Linked DNA regions of Oryctolagus cuniculus. The protein of the gene in region 1 interacts with the protein of each later gene in a pairwise test. Links are inferred from orthologs where the notes say so. Each region holds a gene or a part of one and is shown in the gene's direction. Other genes may lie near its edges.

The links. The genes of interacting proteins can lie anywhere in the genome.
Region 2: the proteins of TRIM63 (region 1) and TNNT1 interact in a two-hybrid assay, tested with the Homo sapiens proteins (2 studies listed by BioGRID and IntAct). The link is inferred for Oryctolagus cuniculus from reciprocal best matches to the Homo sapiens genes TRIM63 and TNNT1.

The regions. Positions count from the first base shown.
Region 1 is NC_091438.1:145,360,170-145,364,216, forward strand, and holds the start of TRIM63 (E3 ubiquitin-protein ligase TRIM63), read left to right. Parts: upstream 1-1,232; 5' UTR 1,233-1,381; coding exon 1,382-1,540; intron 1,541-2,265; coding exon 2,266-2,438; intron 2,439-4,047. UniProt on the Homo sapiens protein: E3 ubiquitin ligase. Mediates the ubiquitination and subsequent proteasomal degradation of CKM, GMEB1 and HIBADH.
Region 2 is NC_091449.1:3,709,455-3,712,500, forward strand, and holds part of TNNT1 (troponin T, slow skeletal muscle), read left to right. Parts: intron 1-368; coding exon 369-395; coding exon of another isoform or gene 396-463; intron 464-607; coding exon 608-640; coding exon of another isoform or gene 641-657; intron 658-1,390; coding exon 1,391-1,412; intron 1,413-1,784; coding exon of another isoform or gene 1,785-1,856; coding exon 1,857-1,917; intron 1,918-2,684; coding exon 2,685-2,801; intron 2,802-2,902; coding exon 2,903-2,980; intron 2,981-3,046. UniProt on the Homo sapiens protein: Troponin T is the tropomyosin-binding subunit of troponin, the thin filament regulatory complex which confers calcium-sensitivity to striated muscle actomyosin ATPase activity.

The DNA.
Region 1 (4,047 bases):
CCAGGAGCCAGGTGCTTCTTCCTGGTTTCCCACGCGGGTGCAGGTGCCCAAGCACTTGGGCCATCCTCCACTGCCTTCCCGGGCCACAGCAGAGAGCTGGACTGGAAGAGGAGCAACCAGGACTAGAACCCGGCGCCCATGTGGGATGCCGGCGCCACAGGCGGAGGATTAACCAAGTGAGCCATGGCACCGGGCTGCTCCACTTCCTATCCAGCTCACTGCTATGACCTGGGAAAGCAGTAGAAGATGGCCCAAGTCCTTGGGACCCTGCACCCACGTGGGAGACCGGAAGGAAGCTCCTGGCTCCTGGCTTCAGATTGGCACAGCTCCGGCTGTTGCAGCCAACTGGGGAGTGAACCAGCAGATGGAAGACCTCTCTCTATGACTCTGCCTCTCTGTAACTCTGTCTTTCAAATAAAAGAAATAAATCTTTAAAAATAATAAGTAAAGCTTTTTTAAAGTGGAGTAAAATTGAAAATGTGTGCCGAGACCCAGGGGAGCCTTCCGGCCAGTGCTGAGCGTCCAGGCGGGGTTTCCATAAGAGCTGCTCCCCTCTGCTCCTTCCTGGGCTGTGCACATCCCAGGGCAGGAGACCGCTCCTCTGCCTGTCACCTTGGTCCCTGCTGCACTGAAGAATGTCTGGTGTGTGGATAAGGTTCCTGGCTTTGCTGCTAGGAAGTGTAAAGTCTTCTCTTTGCTGGGACTCATTTCAAACTCTATAGAATGAGGGGACTGGACTCAAGGGAGCCCTTTCAGCGTTAAGGGGAATAAGTGGCCAAGAGAGGGAGACAGACACCCCGGGTGGGGCCTCCCCTGTCTACATGAGACGCTGGGCTCAGGTGCGAGGCTCAGAGAGGGGCGGCCCTGTCCCTTATCTTGAGAGCTGCCCAGGACTCCAGGGGAGTGGCAGGCACTGATTTACGTTAATGAGGGGGACAGTGACTATGAACCCCTGAATCCCCGAGGTCCCCTCCCTGGATCCCATCCCTGGCCCAGCAGCCTAGCTAGGGGGACCCAGTTTCTGGAGGGAACTCTGGGTACCCATGCCCCCGCCAGGCTGCCTCCGAACAGGTTGTTCTTGTTTTCGACCCCCTATGCCCGGGGAACAGCGATTGCTCAGGCTTGCGTGTGATCTGAGAGGGCCGCGTCTCCCAGGCTTGGAAGAAACTCAAGCCCCACCGCGCACTTGGCATCGGAATGCTCAGCTGGTCCCCTCCCGGGCTCATGTGACCGAGACCCAGCTATAAATACCAGAGGGGCCCCAGTCCCGGACAGAATTCAGACGCGGGGAGAAGAAGGCCGAGAGATTCCGAGCGGGTGTTTGTGACAAAGGCACAGGTCTCCGGAGCCAGCAGGTGGAGGAGGCAGCCACCCCAACGTTATGGATTACAAGTCGGGCCTGATCCAGGATGGCAGCCCCATGGAGAACCTGGAGAAGCAGCTGATCTGTCCCATCTGCCTGGAGATGTTCACCAAGCCGGTGGTCATCCTGCCGTGTCAGCACAACCTCTGCCGCAAGTGTGCCAACGACATCTTCCAGGTCGGTGCTGGCCATGGCCGCTCCTGGGTCCCTGGGCGGCAACTCGGCGGCCCTTTGCTCTTAGCCGAAGGCCCTGCAATGCGAGCTGATTCTTTCCGCTTCCGAGTGATCCCCTGTGGAGGCCTCTGGCCTGGGCTGGGGCTGGGGCGGTGGCTCTGGCGGCCCCGCTGCCTCTCCATGACGCATGTGTCCCTCCCAGCCTGTCCACAGCTCCCCCGCCTGCCCTGGGCCCGCTGAGGACTGAGAGTCAAATGCCTCAAGTGATAAGGGGGAGGCAGGCAGAGAGGGGAGAGAAACCAGACCCCTGGGGCCCGGCCAGCGCCACAGTGGCAGGGGGCCCGGAGCTGTGGGAGGAGGGGGACGGGCAGGCACGAGGCCTAGAGGGCCCCCCCACCGAGGCTGTCCTCTTCAAGGTGGGAGCCGGAGGGGCTCTAGGGAGGTCTGGCAGGCAGGCAGGACCCAGCGGTCCCCAGGAGCACCGTCTCCAATGCCACTTCACTGCTTCACCTTTGCCCTAATTATAGCACCCATTTCTTGAGTGGGCAAACTGAGGTTTTGAGAGAGAAAGTCACTGCCCAGGGTCAGGCAGAGACGGAAGCCAGGCCTGCTGACTGCTCGGGGGCTCTCCGGGCAGGGGTCTGTTCTCACCTCAAGAGCGGGAGAGACTCAAGAGGGAAGGGGCTGAGGAGGGAGCACTGGCCTCACCTCTACCTTGGCCACCGCAGGCCGCAAATCCTTACTGGACCAACCGGAGCGGCACGGTGTCCATGTCCGGCGGCCGTTTCCGCTGCCCGTCCTGCCGCCACGAGGTGGTCATGGACCGGCACGGCGTGTACGGGCTGCAGAGGAACCTGCTGGTGGAGAACATCATTGACATCTACAAGCAAGAGTGCTCCAGGTCAGCTCGCCGGCCCCGAGACCCTGCCCCCAGAACCCGCCACTAGGGACCCCTCGGGCTGCACTGCCGGGGGAGATGGGAAGCGAGAGGGAGGGACAGGCCTGGGACCTGTGAGGTGGCCGGCTGGGCAGGGAGAGTGCCCAGTGACAACATAGCCAGGAGCTGCAGCGATGGCTACATTGTCTCCCTTGCCAGCCCTGGGGAGGCTCTGCCTGCCTCGCAGCCACCCTGTAGACCGGGAGGGACTTCTGTAATCCCCAAGAAGCCAAGTCAGTGACTCAAGGCTTCCCAGCCGAGAAGGGGGCGAGCTGGGGCTGAGCCTGGCCCATCGGGTGCTGAGTCTCCCTGTTAATAAGAGAGGCAGCATCTGTGAGTGGTGGGGCCGGCTGGAGACACAGCCGCTGCCGGGAGAGCGGTACAAATGAGGACATCCTGACACCACTCCCAGCTGCTGACCTCACAGCCTTTTTGGTCTAAAACCTCCACCAAGCACGTGGCAGCAGGCAGTGGCCTGCCCAGAGGTGCTGCCAACCATGCCCGCGGAGGAAGAGCCCTGGCCTGGGGCCTGTGATGGCCGCTCTGCCCCGTTGTTAATGCATTAAGTGGCCGAAGCGTGGCTGTGACTGTGGGCTAGGACACCGATGGGCAATGTGACACAGTCAAGTGCTCCCTGAGCACACGCTGTGCTCAGGCACTGTCCGGAGTACTTCCTGTCTCAGTCACTCTGTGAGGCATTCGCAGCTCCATTTTCCTATAAGGAAACGGAGGCTCAGAGAGGGTCGGAGATTTTCCCAAGGCCACACAGCTAGAAGAGAGAAGGTGTGACTGACTCCATGGTGAATGTGCTTTTTTCGTTTTAAAAATAATGTATTTATTTGAGAGAGAGAGAGAGAACACATTCCCATCTGCTGGTTCATGCGTGAAATGCCCAGCGGGGGCTGAGTTGGAGCTGAATCTGGGAGCCCAGAACTTAATCTGGGTCTCCTACGTGGGTGGCAGGAGCCCAATTACTTGAGTCATCAGCACAGCTTCCCGGGTCTGCATCGTAGGAGCCCGCGTCAGGAGCTGGAGCCGAGGATCCACCTGAGAACTCAGCTAGGGGGAGCAGGTGTCCCGAATGCCGGGCTCAGTGCCTGTGCCTGGTGCATATTCCTCACCGCTGGTCTAGATTGTGGCTACAGGATGCACACGGGCTGTGGGTCGCTATAAAAGTAGTCCAATCTGTATTGCATGGGAATACCAGCCCCCTCGGGGAGCACCTCCGCTGAGCGCGCTGTGTCGGAGCCCCTGAGGCCTCTCCAAGGGGAGGAGCGTCACAGCCGCTGCGCTTTCCTGGGGCTCTGCTCTGTGCTGGGCACTTCCTGTTCCCGCAGAGAGCTTCGGCAATTCTTCCTCCTGTCGGAGGAAACCAAACCCAGAGGAGCCAAGCAACTTGCTCCAACGGTCTGGACGGAAGCCAGAGGGAAGGATGGGCACCCAAGGGTCAGGGGTCACAGCTTGTCTCTGTGCACCACTGCTGGCCCCAGGGCTCCTCTCCCAGGGCCGGGAGACCCCTACCAGCATGCAGGCCCTGGGCGGCAAGATGCAAGAAGACAAGTCTGGCCAGGGG
Region 2 (3,046 bases), on another chromosome or scaffold:
ACCCTGGCCAACGGGCCACCCCAGCCAACGGGCCACCCCACCCATCGCCCACCTCGGCCATGGGCCTACCCCACCCATCGCCCACCCTGGCCATCGGCCTATCCCTCCCATCGCCCACCCTGGCCAACGGGCCACCCCACCCATCGCCCACCCCAGCCATGGGCCTAACCCACCCATCGCCCACCCCGGCCATCGCCCACCCTGGCCAATGGCGGGCTGAGGACTGCGGCAACTCCGGGGTGCCGGGGCGGTGGGGGATCCCCGCGCCCTAGCAGCTGCGGCCGTGGGGGGAGGGGCGTCCCAGGGCTCGGGCTGCCCCTGCCCACGACCCCCTAACGCCCTCTCTCCTGCGCCCCACCCGCTTCCAGAGGAGGAGGCTGCAGAGGAGGAGGAAGGTGAGACCCCGGCCCCCCGCAGGGCTGGAGCTGCTCGCGGGCCCGGGGCGGAGGGGGGCGCCCGGGGCGCCTGGGCTCCAGTTCCTCTAACAGCCTCTGCCGTCTCTCCCCCTCCCCTCTCTCCCGCCTCCCCCCCCCCCCCCCCCCCCCCGCCTGGCCGCTCCCCTCCCTGCTGCCCCAAACCCTGGCTTCTCCTCCCGCCCCCTCCCCAGCCCCCGAGGAGCCGGAGCCGGTGGCAGAGCCAGGTAACCGCGGCTGCTTCGCTTCCCGAGCCCGATTTCGGGGGCCGGGGGACCCTGACCTCCTTGGTGACGCCCCCTCCCCTCCCCACTCCCGCCGCAACCCGCCCCAGCGCGGTCCTTTAAGCCCCAGAGAGCCTCGCGCCCTCTGGCGGCAGTGAAGGGAAATGGCCTCGCAGCGCCTTTAACCCTTTCCCTTCCTTCTTAAAGGGACCGACACCCAAACCTTCTTTTCCCCGCCCTGGGGGAACATTTAAAGAAGGGTTGGATGTTTGCAGAGAGCCCCTCGTCTCCCCTGCCCCTGTCAATCTTCCTCCCCCCATATACATTCAAAGCTTGGGACCCGGAGTTTAGAGTTGTCAGAACTGGCAGTGGGGGGCCCCACTGCGGCGGGGACGCGGACAGAACTCGGGGGGGGGGGGGGTCGGGACTGGGCTCCCTGCGTGTTGGGTTCTGATGAGGGAAGACTGCAGCTATGGGCTTGTAAGTGCGGCGGGCCTGGGGGAGGGGTCGGGTTCTCAGAAAGCTTGGGGGCGGGGGCGCCCCCACTCGGGTTCTGAATGTATATGTGATGCGTGTGAGCCTCCTCCCCCTTCGCGGCCACCCCACTTCCCTGCTCCCCACACCCCTCCCCCAGAACTGGACGCCAGGCCCTGCCCTGGGCTCCGGGGACGTCCCCTCCCCCCAGGGTAACCCAGGCCGGGCCCCCTCCCCAGAGCGCTCACTAACTGTCTCTTTCTATCTCCACCACCGCAGAAGAGGAGCGCCCCAAGCCCAGGTGAGACCCCAGCGGGCGGGGGCCCCATCACCTCCTGCTAAGCCCTCCCTGCTGCTCCACTGGTGGGTGGTGGGCCGCGGGGCAGGCAGAGAGGGAGACCTGCTGGGCCGGGCTGGCCCCGTGCCCTGCCCTGTGATGGCCCCTGCCTTGGCCCTGGGCATCTCGGAAGGCGTCCTGGGGGAGGGGTTGCCCGAGCCCTGCAGAGAGCCTCCCCTGTGTGCAGGTCTGCTAGCACCAGGACAGTGGGGGACTCTGATGTCCAGGCTGGGAGAGGCAGACGGCCCCGGTGCGCGGGCGGGCCTGAGGGCGAGTGCGCGTATGCAGCCTGTCGGGGCAGGGGCGGCTGCCTGGGGGCGAGGCTTGTCCTGTAAGGGGCCTGGGCGCGGACGCGCGCGGCGTGGCGCGCTCACGCCCCGTGTACAGCACGGTGCATGCGCTCAGCAGGCCCGTGGTGCCCCCGCTGATGCCGCCCAAGATCCCGGAAGGCGAGCGCGTGGACTTCGATGTGAGTAGCCGCTGCCCTGGGGGGCCGCGCCGCGAGGGGGTCCTGGGTCCCGCCCTGGGGGGCGCGCCGCGAGGGGGTCCTGGGTCCCGCCCTGGGGGGCCGCGCCGCGAGGGGGCCCTGGCCCCGCCCTGGGGGGGCGCGCCGCGAGGGGGTCCTGGGTCCCGCCCTGGGGGGCCGCGCCGCGAGGGGGTCCTGGCCCCGCCCTGGGGGGCCGCGCCGCGAGGGGGTCCTGGGTCCCGCCCTGGGGGGCCGCGCCGCCAGGGGTTCCTGGGTCCCTGCCCTCCGCCCTGGAAGGCCGCGCCGCGAGGGGGTCCTGGGTCCCTGCCCTGGAGGGGCGCCTCGCGGAGTCCCGGCCCCGCCCTGGGGGGGCGCGCCGCGAGGGGGTCCTGGGTCCCGCCCTGGAGGGGCGCCCCGCCGGGGTCCTGGCCTCGCCCTGGAGGGCCGCGCCGCGAGGGGGTCCTGGGTCCCTGCTCCGCCCAGGGGGGGCGCGCCGCGAGGGGGTCCTGGGTCCCACCCTCCGCCCTGGAGGGCCGTGCCACGAGGGGGTCCTGGGTCCCGCCCTCCGCCCTGGAGGAGGCCCGCTGCGAGGGGGGTCCTGGGTCCATGCTCTCCGCCCTGGAGGGCCGCGCCGCGAGGGGGTCCTGGGTCCCCGCCCTCCGCCCTGGGGGGCCGCGCCGCGAGGGGGTCCTGGGTCCCGCCCTCCGCCCTGGGGGGCCGCGCGCCTCGCGGGGTCCCGGCCCCGCCCCAGGCCGTCCGTCCCGCCGCAGGACATCCACCGCAAGCGCATGGAGAAAGACCTGCTGGAGCTGCAGACGCTCATCGACGTGCACTTCGAGCAGCGCAAGAAGGAGGAGGAGGAGCTGGTGGCGCTGAAGGAGCGCATCGTGAGTGCGGGCGGGGTGCGGGGCACTGCGAGTGCGGCCCGGAGTGAGTGTGGGGCCGCCTCGCCCCCGCCCCCACGCCCCTCAGCCTCCCCCTCCTCCAGGAGCGGCGCCGGGCCGAGAGAGCCGAGCAGCAGCGCTTCCGAACCGAGAAGGAGCGGGAGCGGCAGGCCAAGCTGGCGGTGCGTGTCCCCCCGCCCCCCCGCCCCGCGTCCGTGCCCCGCCCCGCGCCGCCCCGCGTTCAGCAT